Saccharomyces cerevisiae S288C: one gene and its partners. Changing the gene in region 1 together with any one later gene gives a genetic interaction. Each region holds a gene or a part of one and is shown in the gene's direction. Other genes may lie near its edges. The genes, in order: SLT2, IRA2, BEM3 and ECM33.

What was found.
Region 2: mutations in SLT2 (region 1) and IRA2 together harm fitness more than expected from each alone (negative genetic interaction), as found in Saccharomyces cerevisiae (6 studies listed by BioGRID, with this or other methods).
Region 3: mutations in SLT2 (region 1) and BEM3 together harm fitness more than expected from each alone (negative genetic interaction), as found in Saccharomyces cerevisiae (5 studies listed by BioGRID).
Region 4: mutations in SLT2 (region 1) and ECM33 together harm fitness more than expected from each alone (negative genetic interaction), as found in Saccharomyces cerevisiae (5 studies listed by BioGRID, with this or other methods).

The regions. Positions count from the first base shown.
Region 1 is NC_001140.6:167,952-171,909, reverse strand, and holds SLT2 (mitogen-activated serine/threonine-protein kinase SLT2), read left to right. Parts: upstream 1-1,565; coding exon 1,566-3,020; downstream 3,021-3,958. Other genes in the region: RRM3 (DNA helicase), read left to right, coding at 1-1,111; YHI9 (Yhi9p), read left to right, coding at 3,349-3,958. UniProt on the Saccharomyces cerevisiae protein: Serine/threonine protein kinase involved in a signal transduction pathway that plays a role in yeast cell morphogenesis and cell growth.
Region 2 is NC_001147.6:169,329-174,507, forward strand, and holds the start of IRA2 (Ras GTPase activating protein IRA2), read left to right. Parts: upstream 1-1,741; coding exon 1,742-5,179. Other genes in the region: ATG19 (Atg19p), read left to right, coding at 1-646. UniProt on the Saccharomyces cerevisiae protein: Inhibitory regulator of the Ras-cyclic AMP pathway. Stimulates the GTPase activity of Ras proteins.
Region 3 is NC_001148.4:331,479-337,709, reverse strand, and holds BEM3 (GTPase-activating protein BEM3), read left to right. Parts: upstream 1-2,223; coding exon 2,224-5,610; downstream 5,611-6,231. Other genes in the region: PEX25 (Pex25p), read left to right, coding at 1-274; YPL113C (glyoxylate reductase), read left to right, coding at 567-1,757; HOS3 (histone deacetylase), read right to left, coding at 6,011-6,231. UniProt on the Saccharomyces cerevisiae protein: GTPase-activating protein (GAP) for CDC42 and less efficiently for RHO1. Negative regulator of the pheromone-response pathway through the STE20 protein kinase.
Region 4 is NC_001134.8:391,075-395,589, forward strand, and holds ECM33 (Ecm33p), read left to right. Parts: upstream 1-2,048; coding exon 2,049-2,106; intron 2,107-2,436; coding exon 2,437-3,668; downstream 3,669-4,515. Other genes in the region: ECM8 (Ecm8p), read left to right, coding at 1-217; SLM4 (Slm4p), read right to left, coding at 731-1,219; RPG1 (translation initiation factor eIF3 core subunit a), read right to left, coding at 4,309-4,515. UniProt on the Saccharomyces cerevisiae protein: Required for proper cell wall integrity and for the correct assembly of the mannoprotein outer layer of the cell wall. Important for apical bud growth.

The DNA.
Region 1 (3,958 bases):
AAGGAGAATTCGGAAGAACGACGATCCCTTTGGTGGTATTCAATTGGTCCTGACAGGCGATTTTTTTCAACTACCACCAGTTGCTAAGAAGGACGAGCATAACGTTGTGAAATTTTGTTTTGAAAGTGAAATGTGGAAACGGTGCATTCAAAAAACGATTTTACTGACAAAGGTTTTCAGACAACAGGATAACAAACTAATTGATATTCTAAATGCCATAAGATACGGAGAGCTGACTGTCGACATTGCTAAAACAATAAGGAACCTAAATAGGGATATAGACTATGCCGATGGAATTGCTCCTACAGAACTGTATGCCACAAGAAGAGAAGTTGAACTATCCAACGTAAAGAAATTACAGTCTCTACCTGGTGATTTATATGAGTTTAAAGCTGTAGATAACGCGCCCGAGAGATACCAAGCGATACTAGATTCTTCATTAATGGTGGAAAAAGTTGTCGCATTGAAGGAAGATGCACAGGTAATGATGTTGAAAAATAAGCCTGATGTAGAATTAGTTAATGGATCATTGGGAAAAGTTTTGTTTTTTGTTACAGAATCGCTGGTGGTGAAAATGAAGGAAATTTACAAGATTGTGGATGACGAAGTTGTCATGGACATGAGATTAGTGAGTCGGGTCATTGGTAATCCCTTGTTAAAGGAATCAAAGGAGTTTCGTCAAGATTTGAATGCCAGGCCATTAGCTAGATTGGAACGTTTGAAAATCTTGATAAACTATGCAGTTAAGATCTCTCCGCATAAGGAAAAATTCCCCTATGTGAGGTGGACAGTGGGTAAAAACAAGTACATACATGAGCTCATGGTCCCAGAGCGCTTTCCCATTGATATTCCCAGAGAAAATGTCGGGTTAGAAAGAACTCAGATTCCATTAATGCTATGCTGGGCACTGTCCATTCATAAGGCACAGGGTCAAACTATTCAAAGACTAAAGGTCGACTTGAGGAGAATTTTCGAAGCCGGCCAAGTTTATGTTGCACTGTCAAGAGCGGTAACTATGGACACCTTACAGGTCCTAAACTTTGATCCAGGAAAGATTCGCACCAATGAAAGAGTAAAAGATTTCTATAAACGTTTAGAAACTTTGAAATGACTTGCAACGAATAAATGCATATACTCTAGTTGAAGTTTTCTTTTCTTGTTCTATACAGGTTCGAATACTTGTGAGCCTATCTGTATAATTTAACAGAATCCCGAAATATTCATCTAGAAGCCATCTATTTAGCTAAGCCTACGTATGCGGCGATTTTTATATTATCTTTTTTTTTTTTTATAGAAGACTGCGAAATGTTGGCAGAATGGAAAGTTTCAGTGTTAAAAATAGAAACTGAAAAAGGAGATCTAGCCAGGAATATATCGAAAAAAAAAGTGAGGGAAATCAGATCCTACACAAATATTTAGATTTAATTGAAGACCCTGGTCTGCCAGATATATATATATATTAGACGAACTGTGCATTCAGTCAGCAAATCTAGGCCACAGATTTTCTTATTGAAGCTATCAAAATAGTAGAAATAATTGAAGGGCGTGTATAACAATTCTGGGAGATGGCTGATAAGATAGAGAGGCATACTTTCAAGGTCTTCAATCAAGATTTCAGTGTAGATAAGAGGTTTCAACTTATCAAAGAAATAGGGCATGGAGCATACGGCATAGTGTGTTCAGCGCGGTTTGCAGAAGCTGCCGAAGATACCACAGTTGCCATCAAGAAAGTGACAAACGTTTTTTCGAAGACCTTACTATGTAAAAGATCCCTACGTGAGCTAAAGCTTTTGAGACATTTCAGAGGCCACAAAAATATTACATGTCTTTATGATATGGATATTGTTTTTTATCCAGACGGGTCTATCAATGGACTATATCTTTATGAGGAACTTATGGAATGTGATATGCACCAAATCATCAAATCCGGTCAACCTTTGACGGATGCTCACTATCAAAGTTTCACATACCAAATATTATGTGGTTTAAAGTATATTCATTCTGCAGATGTCTTGCATCGTGATTTGAAGCCCGGCAATTTGCTTGTCAATGCAGATTGTCAATTGAAAATCTGTGATTTTGGGTTAGCTAGAGGTTATTCGGAGAATCCTGTCGAAAACAGTCAATTTTTGACGGAGTACGTGGCCACTAGATGGTATAGAGCTCCGGAAATAATGTTGAGTTACCAAGGATATACCAAGGCGATTGACGTATGGTCAGCTGGCTGTATTTTAGCGGAGTTTCTTGGTGGAAAGCCAATCTTCAAAGGAAAGGATTACGTTAATCAATTGAATCAAATATTACAAGTTTTAGGGACACCCCCAGACGAAACTTTAAGAAGGATTGGTTCTAAAAATGTTCAGGACTACATACATCAATTAGGTTTCATTCCAAAAGTACCTTTTGTCAATTTATACCCAAATGCCAATTCACAAGCATTAGACTTATTGGAGCAAATGCTCGCGTTTGACCCTCAAAAGAGAATTACCGTGGATGAGGCCCTGGAGCATCCTTACTTGTCTATATGGCATGATCCAGCTGACGAACCTGTGTGTAGTGAAAAATTCGAATTTAGTTTTGAATCGGTTAATGATATGGAGGACTTAAAACAAATGGTTATACAAGAAGTGCAAGATTTCAGGCTGTTTGTGAGACAACCGCTATTAGAAGAGCAAAGGCAATTACAATTACAGCAGCAGCAACAGCAGCAGCAACAGCAACAGCAACAGCAACAGCAGCCTTCAGATGTGGATAATGGCAACGCCGCAGCGAGTGAAGAAAATTATCCAAAACAGATGGCCACGTCTAATTCTGTTGCGCCACAACAAGAATCATTTGGTATTCACTCCCAAAATTTGCCAAGGCATGATGCAGATTTCCCACCTCGACCTCAAGAGAGTATGATGGAGATGAGACCTGCCACTGGAAATACCGCAGATATTCCGCCTCAGAATGATAACGGCACGCTTCTAGACCTTGAAAAAGAGCTGGAGTTTGGATTAGATAGAAAATATTTTTAGGACAAAAAACTATAAGTAACCGGGGAAGTATAGAATCACCATAGATGTAAGCTTACAGACAATGTGTATATATGATGTATATGAACGTATACAAATATATATATATATACGTGCTCTTGTTGTAGCTCGTATATCAAATTCCTCCTCCGACGCTTATCTTAATCGTACTCCGCGGAAGTTTGTTATCGCCTCTTGAATTCTTTCTTTTCGTTCATTTATGATTAGTCATCTATAGACAATATTCATTATTTAAGCACCTAGAATACTAAACTAAATGTCTAAATATGACACAAGGAAGATAAGATAAAAAAAACCAAGCGCTTAGAATATGACTTTAATGGTACCTTTCAAACAAGTTGATGTATTCACTGAGAAGCCCTTTATGGGAAATCCAGTAGCAGTAATAAACTTCTTGGAAATTGATGAAAATGAAGTCAGTCAAGAAGAATTGCAGGCAATTGCCAACTGGACAAACTTATCAGAAACAACGTTTTTATTTAAACCATCTGATAAAAAGTATGATTACAAGTTGAGGATCTTTACTCCAAGAAGTGAATTGCCATTTGCTGGTCACCCAACCATTGGTTCATGTAAGGCTTTCCTTGAGTTCACCAAAAACACCACTGCGACTTCTCTCGTCCAGGAATGTAAAATAGGCGCTGTTCCAATAACAATTAATGAGGGACTAATTAGCTTCAAAGCTCCGATGGCTGATTACGAAAGTATATCGAGTGAGATGATTGCTGATTATGAAAAAGCGATTGGTTTGAAATTCATAAAGCCTCCTGCTCTTTTACATACTGGGCCAGAGTGGATCGTGGCGCTAGTAGAAGATGCAGAAACTTGCTTCAATGCAAACCCAAATTTTGCTATGCTTGCACACCAGACAAAACAGAATGACCATGTGGGAATTATCCTAGCGGGCCCTAAAAAGGAAG
Region 2 (5,179 bases), on another chromosome or scaffold:
TAGGTCCGAACTAGTGAACTTTTTCACAGAGTTGAAAACAGTCAAACAACTTGAGGACGTTTTTCAACGTTACCATGACTATGAGAGGTTATCACAAGAATGTGACAGTAAGACGGAAATCGCCTCTGACCATTCGAAAAAGGAAACTAAAATAGAAGTGGAACCCCCAAATGAGCGCTCATTGCAAATCACAATGAACCAAAGGGACAATTCATTGTATTTCCAGTTGTTTAACAACACAAACTCTGTTTTGGCAGGCAACTGCAAACTGAAGTTTACTGACGCTGGCGATAAGCCAACCACGCAAATTATTGACATGGGTCCTCATGAAATAGGAATAAAGGAGTACAAGGAATACCGATACTTTCCATACGCACTTGATTTAGAGGCCGGCTCCACTATCGAGATTGAAAATCAGTATGGAGAAGTGATCTTCTTGGGCAAGTATGGCTCTTCTCCAATGATTAACTTAAGGCCACCTTCAAGATTATCTGCAGAAAGTTTACAGGCATCCCAAGAGCCATTTTACTCCTTTCAAATCGATACGTTACCAGAACTGGATGACTCTAGTATCATCAGTACATCCATTTCACTCTCTTATGACGGTGACGACAATGAAAAAGCCCTGACTTGGGAAGAACTCTAGGTCAAACTCTATTTTTATACAGCAATGAGTACCTTTTCACATACACATAAATATATTAAATATAATAAATACAATAAATATAAAATAACCCTTTTCGAAACTCTTTACTTCCTAAGGCCTCTCATTACTTATCACCTAGCATCATGCTCTTCATACATGCCATCTACTTTCAAACGATATACGGCTAACCAGAAAAGTACGGACAATCAGGGACGAGCAGGGACATGACGCCTTCCGCACAGATCCCAGAGAAAAGCAGGGAAACAAGAAAATAAGAAAACAAGAAAAACAGTAGTTACCCTTGTAAGTGTCATCCACAACAGAACCAATACTCTTACTCTTCCGCTCATTCCCCGCAGAATGATAGAACTATTCTAAATCCCCTTGCCTTGCTTGGCCTTGACTTGGGTTGGGACTTGGACCTCTAGAACCGATGTGCCTTCAAACATCTTAGCGAGATAAGAGTCTGCCATTAATGCATCGAGCCAATATCTTGGACTAGTACGAGGTTCACGTAGCCTTTCTTGCACGGCACCAGCGTCCCACCCCAAGTTCTTTGCTATACTGACCGCCTTACACATTTTAGTGTGATTCCAACCCAAAGTAGCTCCTCAAAAAGGGTCACCCGATCGGTGAATCAATCCGCGGCGCAGAAATGTTCGTAGAGCTCTCGTTTCTTCTAGAACGCTCCCTTGATGAAACGAAAATTTCCATCACAATAAAGCTCGCACGCCTTTTTGAAAACCCCAAGCTTTGCTGTGTCTTCTTGTGAAAAGTTTTGCCCAACGATTATCTATTCTACATATAACCGGGGAGTTAAGCACATCCTATTGCCCTACATTCTCTCCGCTTACTTCATTGTCTAGAGCTCCTGGGAAACAAAAGACCGAAAAAGCGAAAACAAAATCAGAACAAGGCTTAAGTACTTTTTCACCAATTGTAGCAAACATTTAACCACATTTTAGCACACTAGCATATAGCATTGTCCTCTGTTATTCGTTTTGCTTTTCTCCTTTAGTGTTACTTTTCCCCCAACGTTACACCATTTTTTGATATCAACTAAACTGTATACATTATCTTTCTTCAGGGAGAAGCATGTCCCAGCCCACTAAGAATAAGAAGAAAGAACACGGGACCGATTCCAAGTCATCCCGCATGACTCGGACGTTGGTTAATCATATTCTTTTTGAAAGAATTCTCCCGATCCTTCCGGTGGAGTCTAATCTAAGTACCTATTCGGAAGTGGAAGAGTATTCCTCATTCATTTCATGCAGATCTGTGCTCATTAACGTTACCGTTTCCCGAGATGCAAATGCTATGGTGGAAGGCACCTTGGAGTTGATAGAATCGCTTCTTCAAGGGCACGAAATCATTTCAGATAAGGGTAGCAGTGACGTTATTGAATCAATACTGATTATACTAAGATTGTTAAGTGATGCGCTAGAGTATAATTGGCAAAATCAAGAAAGCCTTCATTACAACGACATTTCGACTCACGTAGAACATGACCAAGAACAGAAGTACAGACCAAAGCTTAACAGTATTCTGCCCGACTACTCGTCGACTCATTCCAATGGCAACAAACACTTTTTCCACCAGAGCAAACCTCAGGCACTGATACCGGAACTGGCATCGAAATTGCTTGAGAGTTGCGCGAAGTTGAAGTTCAATACAAGAACTTTGCAAATTTTACAAAATATGATCAGTCATGTTCATGGAAACATTCTAACGACTTTGAGTTCCTCGATTCTTCCCCGCCACAAATCCTATCTGACAAGGCACAACCATCCTTCTCATTGTAAAATGATTGACTCTACTCTAGGCCATATTCTCCGATTTGTAGCGGCTTCCAATCCGTCCGAGTATTTTGAATTTATCAGAAAGAGTGTGCAAGTGCCCGTAACACAGACACACACGCATTCACACTCCCATTCACACTCTTTGCCATCTTCCGTTTATAACAGCATAGTGCCCCACTTTGATCTTTTCAGCTTCATCTATTTAAGCAAGCATAATTTTAAGAAATACTTGGAACTCATCAAAAACTTATCGGTGACGTTAAGGAAAACGATTTATCATTGCCTACTTTTGCATTACAGCGCCAAAGCAATAATGTTTTGGATAATGGCTAGGCCTGCGGAATATTATGAACTCTTCAACTTATTAAAAGATAATAACAATGAACACTCGAAATCCTTAAACACGTTAAACCATACACTTTTCGAGGAGATCCATTCGACTTTTAATGTGAATAGCATGATAACCACCAATCAAAATGCTCATCAAGGCTCATCTTCCCCTTCGTCCTCCTCGCCATCGTCACCACCTAGCTCATCATCATCGGATAACAACAATCAAAACATAATAGCAAAATCCTTAAGTCGTCAGCTTTCTCACCACCAGTCATACATTCAACAGCAGTCTGAAAGAAAACTACATTCTTCATGGACTACAAACTCTCAATCCTCTACTTCACTGTCATCTTCAACGTCTAATTCAACAACAACTGATTTCTCTACTCACACTCAACCAGGAGAATATGACCCTTCCTTACCAGATACTCCCACGATGTCTAACATCACTATTAGTGCATCTTCATTATTATCTCAAACTCCAACTCCAACAACACAATTGCAACAGCGGTTGAACTCAGCAGCTGCAGCCGCCGCCGCAGCTGCTTCACCATCGAATTCCACCCCAACTGGATACACAGCAGAGCAACAAAGTCGCGCTTCATACGATGCACACAAAACTGGCCATACTGGTAAGGATTATGACGAACATTTTTTGTCTGTCACTCGTTTGGATAATGTTTTGGAGTTATACACGCACTTTGATGATACTGAGGTACTACCACACACATCCGTACTGAAGTTTTTAACTACTTTGACAATGTTCGATATTGACCTTTTTAATGAATTAAACGCTACATCATTCAAATATATTCCTGATTGTACTATGCATCGTCCAAAAGAAAGAACAAGTTCTTTCAATAATACTGCACACGAGACAGGTTCCGAAAAGACTTCGGGTATAAAACATATTACACAAGGCTTAAAGAAATTAACTTCTTTACCTTCCTCAACCAAAAAAACTGTAAAATTTGTGAAGATGTTGCTAAGAAATTTAAATGGGAATCAAGCTGTATCAGATGTTGCCCTCTTAGATACAATGAGGGCCTTACTATCATTCTTTACAATGACTTCTGCGGTCTTTCTCGTGGATAGAAACTTACCCTCAGTACTTTTTGCCAAGAGACTCATCCCCATAATGGGGACAAATTTAAGCGTCGGTCAAGACTGGAATTCAAAAATAAATAACAGTTTGATGGTTTGTTTGAAAAAAAACTCCACCACGTTTGTTCAATTACAATTAATATTCTTCTCTTCAGCTATTCAATTCGATCATGAATTATTACTGGCACGTCTGAGCATCGATACAATGGCCAACAATTTAAACATGCAGAAGCTATGCCTTTATACTGAAGGATTCAGGATATTCTTCGACATACCAAGTAAGAAGGAATTGCGGAAGGCAATTGCGGTTAAAATTTCTAAATTTTTCAAAACATTATTCTCCATTATAGCAGATATTCTTTTACAAGAATTTCCGTATTTTGATGAGCAAATCACCGACATAGTTGCTTCCATTCTTGACGGTACAATTATCAATGAGTATGGTACGAAGAAACATTTCAAGGGGAGCTCACCCTCTTTATGTTCGACAACCCGGTCAAGATCAGGATCTACATCTCAAAGTTCAATGACACCAGTTTCTCCGCTGGGACTGGATACTGATATATGTCCAATGAACACCCTGTCTTTAGTTGGTTCAAGTACTTCAAGAAATTCTGACAACGTTAATTCATTAAACAGTTCACCAAAGAACTTGTCTTCTGATCCATACTTGTCACATCTTGTGGCCCCAAGAGCGCGTCATGCTTTAGGTGGGCCATCTAGTATTATAAGGAATAAAATACCGACTACATTGACTTCACCTCCAGGAACGGAAAAATCTTCACCAGTACAACGTCCGCAAACGGAAAGCATCAGTGCCACACCAATGGCCATAACAAATTCTACTCCATTATCGTCGGCAGCATTCGGAATTCGATCGCCTTTGCAGAAAATAAGAACGAGGCGTTATTCCGATGAAAGTTTAGGAAAATTCATGAAATCAACAAATAATTACATTCAAGAACATTTGATACCAAAAGATTTGAATGAAGCAACTCTTCAAGATGCTAGAAGAATAATGATTAATATTTTCAGTATTTTTAAGAGACCGAATAGTTACTTCATCATTCCTCACAATATAAACTCGAATTTACAATGGGTTTCGCAGGATTTTAGAAATATTATGAAACCGATTTTCGTCGCCATCGTAAGTCCGGATGTAGATTTACAGAATACTGCTCAATCATTCATGGATACCTTATTATCGAATGTTATTACTTATGGTGAATCAGATGAGAATATCAGTATTGAAGGGTATCATCTTCTTTGCAGTTACACTGTAACATTATTTGCAATG
Region 3 (6,231 bases), on another chromosome or scaffold:
GCCAATTAGGAAACAGTTGTTAAATGACCTAAATGTTAATAACGACGCAGAGGTGTTAATACACAAACAACTAAAGGCCATCAAGGATGAAAAGACACTTGTTTATTTAGATATTGCAAGATTATCGTTTGATTGCATGGCTAATACATCAGATATTCTAAATTTAAAAACTCCAAAGGGAACGTATGCCGTTCTGTCCCTGGGATCCGGCTTAACTGGACTGGTTAAACTTTGGATAACAACAAAGAGGTCACTTTGCTCTTCAAAAGATTGATATATAAAAATATGTATACATATAGATATGTACATATATATGTGGCGAATAATGTTTTACCTCTGCATTTGTATTGTTATTTGATTCGTTGAATAAGATAGTTTGGCGCTCGGTTTTTGCTCTTTTTCTTCCGTTTTTATGTCATTGGGGTGGCGGTAGTCATTCCGTTTTACGGTATGTTTATTCTGACACTTTGACGCAGATCTAAAAGGTGGAGTGTGGAGTACAAATAGCTCTCTCTCAAATACAGAAAAATACTTGAGTGTACAAAAGTAGCAACCTTTAAATAACAATGATTACTTCAATTGACATAGCAGATGTAACTTATTCTGCCAAACCAAGAATTTTGGTGCCTTATAAAACCCAATGGGAAGTCGCCAGTCATCTTCCTGAATATCGCAAACTGGCAGAAAGGGTAGAATTCTATAAATATGAGATGTCCACAAAGGATGATTTTGTTAAATTTTTGGAAACTCATAGAATAAACGGCTTTTGGCTCACTGAGGAGTTTTTCACTGTGTTAGGAAACCCTTCGAGTTATATTGAATTCTTCCCCGCATCTTTAAAAGTAATCCTTGTACCATGGGTCGGCTGTGACTTTATTGACGGTAAGTTATTAAGATCGAAAGGTATCACTTTATGCAACATTGGACCACATGCTGCTGACCATGTCACAGAATTGGCTATTTTCCTAGCAATTAGCTGCTTTAGAATGACTTCATTTTGGGAATATTGTTTTAAATACGTGGAAAATGGTAATGTTGAACAGTGTAAGAAATATATCTCTAGTGACTCGTATGAAATTGTTACAGATAGTTACCACGGTCAGGAAATGAAATTTCCCTCTCGAACAGACAAATGCAAGCCTAACAAGGATAGGAAAGTGGTACATTTAGCAGAAAAGTACACGGTTGGCGGGAAAAAAATGGAATCTCCAATGAATAAAAAAGTTCTAATATTGGGGTTTGGCTCCATCGGACAAAATATAGGGTCTAACTTGCACAAAGTGTTCAACATGAGCATTGAATACTACAAAAGGACCGGTCCCGTCCAAAAGAGTCTACTTGATTACAACGCTAAGTACCATTCTGATCTAGATGATCCAAATACTTGGAAGAATGCGGATTTGATCATTTTGGCCTTGCCCAGTACGGCCTCTACAAACAATATTATCAATCGTAAAAGTTTGGCCTGGTGTAAAGATGGTGTCAGGATAGTTAACGTTGGGAGAGGCACATGCATAGATGAAGATGTGCTACTAGACGCTCTTGAATCTGGAAAAGTGGCAAGCTGTGGTCTCGATGTGTTTAAAAATGAGGAAACACGCGTTAAGCAAGAGTTACTTCGCAGATGGGATGTTACAGCTTTGCCACATATCGGCAGCACAGTTGCCGACATGGTCATAAAGCAGACACTCATCACACTCGAGAATGTGCAGGACATATTTGTCGAGGGAGGTGATGGTAAGTATGTGCTCAACTGAACCATTCATTATGTTACAAAGATAGCATTTCAATTAGGATTACATACGTATATGCATTGCTCTTTATACCACAACTCTAAGAATGTCGAAAGTTATATGGCGGCGGTGATGTTGGAAAAAAAACGCGGCCGTTTTATAAAGAACAATAATCGTCTGACTAGGTAAAGTACCAGATAAGAACCGTTTTTATTGCGCGTATTGGTATGTTTTTTAAACGGAATTTTTCAAGATTGTTAAATACATCAACGATATATCCATTTTAATCACCGTTTACCTTTGTGTGTTAGCTTTGTATCTGGAAGTTTTTTCTCTTTTCTTCTTTGTCCTTGCCTTCTACCATTTTGCCTTTTGTTCGAGTTCGTGATTACATCAGGCATATACAACATCACGTTTGTTGAAACACTGGCTGCTAGGAGTATCTGTGTGTATATTCTAGAATAAACTCACACTCAACTAACAGCACGCAATGACAGATAATTTGACCACAACTCATGGTGGTAGTACCACCCTTGAATTGTTGGCGCAGTACAATGATCATAGATCCAAAAAGGACAAATCTATAGAACATATAGAAAAAGGAACATGTTCAGGAAAAGAAAGAAATCCGTCCTATGATGAAATTTTTACGGAAAACATTAAGCTAAAGCTACAAGTCCAAGAATATGAAACTGAAATTGAGAGTTTGGAAAAGGTTATTGATATGTTACAAAAAAACAGAGAAGCTTCCTTAGAAGTTGTGCTTGAGCAAGTTCAAAATGACTCAAGAGATTCATACGTTAACGATCAATCATTTGTGTTACCCCCAAGATCTGCTGAAAGGAAAGCGCATATCAAGAGTCTTAATTTGCCAATACCGACATTGTCCCCTCCATTGCAACAAGGTTCAGACGTTGCACTTGAAACAAGTGTAACGCCTACAGTACCTCAAATAGGTGTTACATCAAATACTTCAATAAGTAGGAAGCATTTACAGAACATGATACTAAACGATGAAATAGAAGCAAATAGTAGCTTCTCATCTCCCAAAATTATCAATAGATCTGTCTCAAGCCCTACAAAAATACATTCAGAACAGTTGGCTAGCCCAGCTGCCTCTGTTACCTATACGACGTCTAGGATAACCATAAAATCACCTAATAAAGGTTCGAAATCTCCATTGCAAGAACGTTTGCGTTCCCCTCAAAATCCTAACAGAATGACGGCTGTTATCAACAACCATTTGCATTCTCCATTAAAGGCCAGTACCTCTAATAATTTAGATGAGCTGACTGAAAGTAAAAGTCAACAACTAACTAATGACGCGATACAAAAAAATGACCGCGTTTATTCTTCTATAACATCCTCTGCATACACTACTGGAACTCCTACTTCAGCAGCCAAAAGTCCATCATCCCTTTTGGAAGTCAAGGAGGGTGAAAACAAGGCTTTGGGTTTCTCTCCAGCATCTAAAGAAAAACTTGACGACTTCACCCAATTACTTGACTCCTCATTTGGCGAAGAGGATCTAGTCAATACGGACAGTAAAGATCCTCTGTCCATAAAATCCACGATTAACGAATCTTTACCCCCACCTCCAGCGCCTCCAACTTTTTTCTCACCTACTTCTAGTGGAAATATAAAAAACTCTACTCCTTTATCAAGCCATTTGGCTTCTCCGGTTATCTTGAATAAAAAGGATGATAATTTTGGTGCTCAAAGTGCAAAAAATTTAAAGAAACCTGTGTTAACTTCATCACTCCCCAATCTTTCTACAAAATTGTCAACAACAAGTCAAAATGCTTCTCTTCCTCCAAATCCTCCCGTGGAAAGTTCATCAAAACAAAAACAACTTGGAGAAACGGCATCCATCCATTCAACCAATACCTTGAATACATTTAGCTCAACACCCCAAGGTTCGTTGAAGACACTTAGAAGACCTCATGCAAGTAGCGTGAGCACCGTGAAGTCTGTGGCCCAAAGTCTTAAGTCGGATATTCCATTATTCGTTCAACCGGAGGATTTTGGCACTATCCAGATTGAAGTACTGAGCACATTGTACAGGGATAATGAAGATGATTTATCCATTTTAATTGCAATCATAGACAGGAAATCCGGTAAGGAGATGTTTAAATTTTCAAAATCTATTCATAAAGTTCGCGAATTAGATGTATATATGAAATCACATGTTCCCGATTTACCATTGCCCACGTTACCTGATAGACAATTATTTCAGACTTTATCACCTACAAAAGTGGATACGCGAAAGAACATATTGAATCAGTATTATACAAGCATATTCAGTGTCCCTGAATTTCCCAAAAATGTTGGTTTAAAAATCGCCCAATTTATTAGTACAGATACAGTAATGACACCTCCAATGATGGATGATAATGTGAAAGACGGATCACTTTTGCTGAGAAGACCAAAGACTCTAACAGGTAATAGTACATGGAGAGTTCGGTACGGTATTTTGCGCGATGATGTTTTACAATTGTTTGACAAAAATCAGTTGACTGAAACTATTAAATTGAGACAATCTTCTATAGAACTTATACCCAATCTCCCTGAAGATAGATTTGGAACGAGAAATGGGTTTTTGATCACTGAGCATAAGAAAAGCGGACTGTCAACCTCAACAAAGTATTATATTTGTACTGAAACGTCGAAGGAACGTGAATTATGGCTTTCTGCGTTTAGTGATTACATTGATCCTTCACAAAGTTTATCGTTATCTAGCTCGAGGAATGCAAACGATACTGATTCTGCATCTCACTTGAGCGCAGGAACACACCATTCTAAATTTGGAAACGCAACTATCTCAGCAACCGATACTCCATCATATGTCACTGATTTGACCCAAGAATATAATAATAATAACAATATTAGTAATAGTAGCAATAACATTGCTAATAGCGATGGTATTGACTCAAACCCATCTTCTCACTCTAACTTCCTAGCAAGTTCAAGCGGGAATGCAGAGGAGGAGAAGGATAGTAGGAGAGCCAAAATGAGAAGTTTATTCCCTTTTAAAAAATTAACCGGCCCGGCGAGTGCAATGAACCATATAGGTATTACAATTTCAAATGATTCGGATTCTCCAACATCTCCTGACTCTATCATTAAGTCACCAAGCAAAAAATTAATGGAAGTATCCTCTTCGTCAAATTCTTCTACGGGTCCACATGTGTCCACTGCAATATTTGGCTCGTCACTAGAAACGTGTTTAAGATTGAGTTCGCATAAGTACCAAAACGTTTACGATTTACCGAGTGTAGTTTATCGTTGCTTAGAGTATCTTTACAAAAACCGTGGTATCCAGGAAGAAGGCATATTTAGACTAAGCGGGTCCAGTACAGTTATCAAAACTTTACAAGAAAGGTTTGATAAAGAGTACGATGTAGATTTATGTCGGTACAATGAAAGTATTGAAGCTAAAGATGATGAGGCATCTCCAAGTCTTTACATTGGTGTGAATACTGTAAGTGGGTTACTAAAGTTGTACTTGAGAAAGTTGCCCCATTTATTATTTGGTGACGAACAATTTTTGTCGTTTAAAAGAGTAGTTGATGAAAATCATAATAATCCTGTTCAAATATCATTGGGGTTTAAGGAACTTATTGAATCTGGCCTAGTTCCTCACGCTAACCTATCGTTGATGTATGCTCTTTTTGAACTGCTGGTAAGGATCAATGAGAATAGTAAGTTTAATAAGATGAATCTAAGAAATTTATGCATCGTGTTTTCCCCAACTCTAAATATTCCAATTAGTATGCTTCAACCATTCATCACTGACTTTGCGTGTATATTTCAGGGTGGTGAACCAGTTAAAGAAGAGGAAAGGGAGAAAGTAGATATACATATTCCTCAGGTTTGATGGTCTAAAATTGTAGAAATATAACGTTGCCAGTAAACCTCCATTGATTTAATGATAGAAAGAGGGCGAGATGTATAGAGGCTTCTTTCTTTCAACGATATATTTGTAATAATAAAAAAATGTCAGGCTGATAAAGCTTATAGAGTGACTGTCTTTTTATTCCTCAAATGTTATTTACAATACCATATAATAAAATTAGTATATTGTCAAATAAAATAAGAGAAAAAAACTAACTTCTTGACCAAATGGTCGAAGAGCTGAGATAAAGAAGGAAAAAAATTAAAATTACTAACTATACAAGGAAATATAAAAATAGAAAAATTGTGTTACTAAATACAAAAAAGTAATATATGCGTCACTTCTTTAGTGGGTTCAAGACAACATTATATATGCATTGGTATCACCATCTTCCACCACTTCTTGTTGTATGTTTTCTTGAAACATGAGAAATCATTGATATATCACTATCGTCATAAGTTGGTGTATTTGCGTTTTGAGGCTGTCTTATGCGATGCGGTTTCGTATTGGAGGGAATTTTATACATTCCATTACCTTGTAGACGGCGTTGGTGCGAGTTTTTCCAATTTTTTTCTTTTAGCTCATGGTCTGAATCTTCATCAC
Region 4 (4,515 bases), on another chromosome or scaffold:
GTGTGAATACGATGAAATCATTAGGGATTCCTTTCAGGATTTCGAGTCTCTAAGAAACCTCAATGCTGATTATAATGGGATGTCGTATATTCAAACACGCAATAGAGAAGACATTGAAGGTATATACGAGAATTATTTTACACACTACATCCAATGCGACTTAGCCACGTTCCGAACGAAATGTTTATATGTCCAAGTTATAACAAAAAGCAATTGATTGTGTACGCAAGATATTAAAAATAAATGATCATATAACAAATCAAACAAAATTTGCCGCTAGTAACGAACTAAACGATTACGAGACGGCTGATAAATACTAATATTCACCATCCTAGCGAAGAAACGCTTTAAATTTATAACGGTTACCATCCAAAATAATGAACATAAGCAGATCTGGCACCGTAGCAGCTCATTGGGGAAAAAAAAGCTGTCATGTAGGGCCCTCTGAGCATAATAAAAAAAGAAGATGCTTCCGTTCAATAACAGCGATAGGTAGATGGGGGAAAAAAAGGAGAGGAAGATGAGGCCCTTATGTACGTGCATATATATGTGCGAGTGCACGAAAGTGCACCACGGCAATCCGCGTAATCAAGCTTATGTAAATGGCGTGTCTGCGTAAACTCTGTCCCTGCGAAAATGTGTTTATTTATAGACTGTTCGCATTGTTTTTTCCAGCCCCCATCCGGAGACGCATGAAAAGGTGTGGCCTCGATACATATTGTTAAACCCATCAACCTAGCTTGTAGCCAAACAAATCAGTCAACTCTCTCATAGCTCTTTCAATTTTAATTACCAGTAGTCCGTAAGGGAAGCTACCTTCCGCAATGAACAATAGCAAAAGGTCGCTATTGGGTATCTGTGCGACACAGGTATGTAAATCTTCCATTTCGTAAGTATATATTTTTGTCTTAAAGGAGTCGATTTCCACAGGGTAACAGCTATTGGAGTGCTGTTCCTCAGTATCGTTTTCATCCTCTGACCACTTATCCTTAATCAATAAGCTCATCATTTTCAAGTTATTGACCGAGTTTATTTCGTTTATGGAATTTTTCGGTACATCGTTGTTTGACGTCGCATAGGACAGTATACCCCCATTAGTGGCGGTTATAATCATAGACGATTGCAAAGACGATGTCTTGAAGTCTACCGAATGCAAATCATACGGTTTCAAAGTGTTTTCCAGAAACCCTTTAACGTTTTTAGAATGGAGCATCACCATATTGCTTCAATATTTTGGATACCGTTTGCTGCTGATAACTGCCTTTTTTTTTTCTTCTTATCTTCCCTTAATTAATTCATTAGAGTCTTTTTAGCTTATATGCCAAATGAAGCAATTGTTTTTCTTTTTCTTCGTCTCTCTCTCCATATTCACCTGTTACCCAGAGGGCACCATTCATATCATTATCAACGTAAAATCTGCGAATTACCGTAAACCGCAAAAAAAAAAGGATGGCGGGCAGTATCATCCTTCACGACCCGGGTGGCTGCTGCGCCCTCGCGAAAAAGAAATGAAATGGAGTGCAAAAACGGGAAAGACGCGCCACCGTTTCTGGCCCACGCGCTCATTCTCAGTGGCCAGGCACTAGAGACAGGACTGAAACCGCGTTACCACAACAAACAAAGGCAACGTGCAGTAAACAACCATCCCTCCTGGGATCGAAATCAAAAGTACAAACCTCAGATCGAACTGAAAAATTTTCGGTAGCGTGCTTGAGCCGGTATAAATATTCAATGTCAAACACCTACGACTTTTCGCAATCAACGGACCTCTCTTGCATTTTTGTATTTAATATGTGAAGATCTTTCCTCTGCATTTTCTTTCCTTCTTTATCTTTCTTGGCTTTTCACCCTTTCTCTTCTTTTTAGAACATCATCTTTGAGTACTTCGGCCACTTTTAGAAAAGAAATTAAATAAAAGAGTTAATCGTTCATTCGCTTCTACACAGTTTAATCTTTTCCATTTTTCTTTCAACAAGTCCCTTTGAGCTATCAAGAATACGTTTATTTGACTTTTAAAGATCTAGTTTTAATTTTACTATTATTCCGCAATGCAATTCAAGAACGCTTTGACTGCTACTGCTATTCTAAGTGCCTCCGCTCTAGCTGGTATGTACACATTCTCCTTTTTTTTCATCTTTTTTTCTTTATTTGCCTCTTTCCTCACAAATCTCGAGTAGATTCGTGGTCCTCTTCATTCTTTTCTTTTTTCTTTGTCGATTACTGGGCTTTTTTTCATAGGTCTCGATTGACGCGGACGGACAATGCGAAAAAAAAAAATTTCCAAAAGAGGAAACGGGTTTCGAGATCTCGTGAGGATGGTTTTGGAATATTCTTCAATATTTCTGCCTGTCATAGGATTAGGGCGAGTAATGAAACAGAATAATACATGTATAAATCGATCGGGAATACTAACACTACTTTTCTTTATCTAAGCAGCTAACTCAACTACTTCTATTCCATCTTCATGTAGTATTGGTACTTCTGCCACTGCTACTGCTCAAGCTGATTTGGACAAAATCTCCGGTTGTAGTACCATTGTTGGTAACTTGACCATCACCGGTGACTTGGGTTCCGCTGCTTTGGCTAGTATCCAAGAGATTGATGGTTCCTTGACTATCTTCAACTCCAGTTCTTTATCTTCTTTCTCCGCTGACTCTATCAAGAAAATCACCGGTGATTTGAACATGCAAGAATTGATCATTTTGACCAGTGCTTCTTTCGGTTCTTTGCAAGAAGTAGACTCCATTAACATGGTGACTTTGCCTGCCATTTCTACCTTCTCCACCGATTTACAAAATGCTAACAACATTATTGTTTCTGACACCACTTTGGAAAGTGTCGAAGGTTTCTCCACTTTGAAGAAGGTTAATGTTTTTAACATCAACAACAACAGATATCTAAACTCTTTCCAATCTTCCTTGGAAAGTGTCTCTGACTCTTTACAATTCTCTTCCAACGGTGACAACACTACTTTGGCCTTCGACAATTTGGTCTGGGCTAACAACATCACTTTGAGAGATGTTAACTCTATTTCTTTCGGTAGTTTGCAAACTGTTAACGCTTCCTTAGGTTTCATTAACAACACTTTGCCAAGTTTGAACTTGACCCAATTGAGCAAGGTTGGTCAATCTTTGTCTATCGTCTCCAACGATGAATTATCCAAGGCCGCTTTCAGTAACTTGACTACTGTTGGTGGTGGTTTCATCATTGCTAACAACACACAATTGAAGGTCATTGACGGTTTTAACAAGGTTCAAACTGTTGGTGGTGCCATTGAAGTTACTGGTAACTTCTCAACCTTGGACTTATCTTCTTTGAAGTCTGTTAGAGGTGGTGCTAACTTCGACTCTTCTTCCAGTAACTTCTCCTGTAACGCTTTGAAGAAGTTGCAAAGTAACGGTGCTATTCAAGGTGACTCTTTTGTTTGCAAGAACGGTGCCACATCTACCTCCGTTAAGCTATCCTCTACTTCTACTGAATCATCCAAGAGCTCTGCTACATCTTCCGCTTCTTCTAGTGGTGATGCCTCCAATGCTCAAGCTAACGTTTCAGCTTCCGCTAGCTCTTCTTCCTCTTCTTCTAAGAAGTCTAAGGGTGCTGCTCCAGAACTTGTTCCAGCCACTTCATTCATGGGTGTCGTTGCTGCTGTTGGCGTTGCCTTACTATAAGATTAAAGCAACAATTTGTGTTTCTATTATTACTTTAATTTCTTCTCTAATGATTTCTTTACCATTCCTTTTTTATTATGAGACGGTTGGTTCATCACTGAATTTTATATGTAGATAAAATTTTAGTGTCGTTAATATCTCTTTTATTTCTTATTGTTACTATATTATTACTGTTTTGAAGTTCCAGTTTCATCAACTTTTGCTACCTTAATTAAAAGAACCACTCAGACTTTTTACCATCCTTTAGCTTTACCTAATATAATGAAATTTGTCTAAGTAACATAAAAAAAAGGAGTAAAGAAAAAAAAAAAATAAGTAAATGAAATAAAATATAAAAAAATTCTTACTACGGTTTAAAACAAAGTGCTCTTCCGCTAACGTTTCAAGTTTCTAAAGAATCGTTAGGGCCTTTTAACGGATCGCTTTTTTAAAACAGTAAAACGTTATTTATAGTTATTTATACCAACTATTTCTCGAAATTCGTTTTTAAAATAACTGCCATCTTTACTGCTCTTCTGCTCCTTCCTTTGACATGAAAAAGCAATCAGAAAGAAATAGTCTAATAAATTGTTATTATGTACACATACTCTTATACGTATAAAAAACGGTATAAATTAAGTAGATCATTTTGCGTTGTCTGTTACCTGCCCCCCTTGGCCAATCTCTTGGCTCTCAACTTTTCAGCCATAGTCATTTTCTTTGGACCAGAAGATGGAGTTGGGGTTGCTGGGGTTGCTGGAGTAGCTGGAGTAGCTGGGGAGGACCCACCAGCTGTTCTACCGGCTAGTCTCTGTTCGATGGCTTCTTCCATTTCTCTTTGTTTTTGAGCGATCATATCCAATTTAGC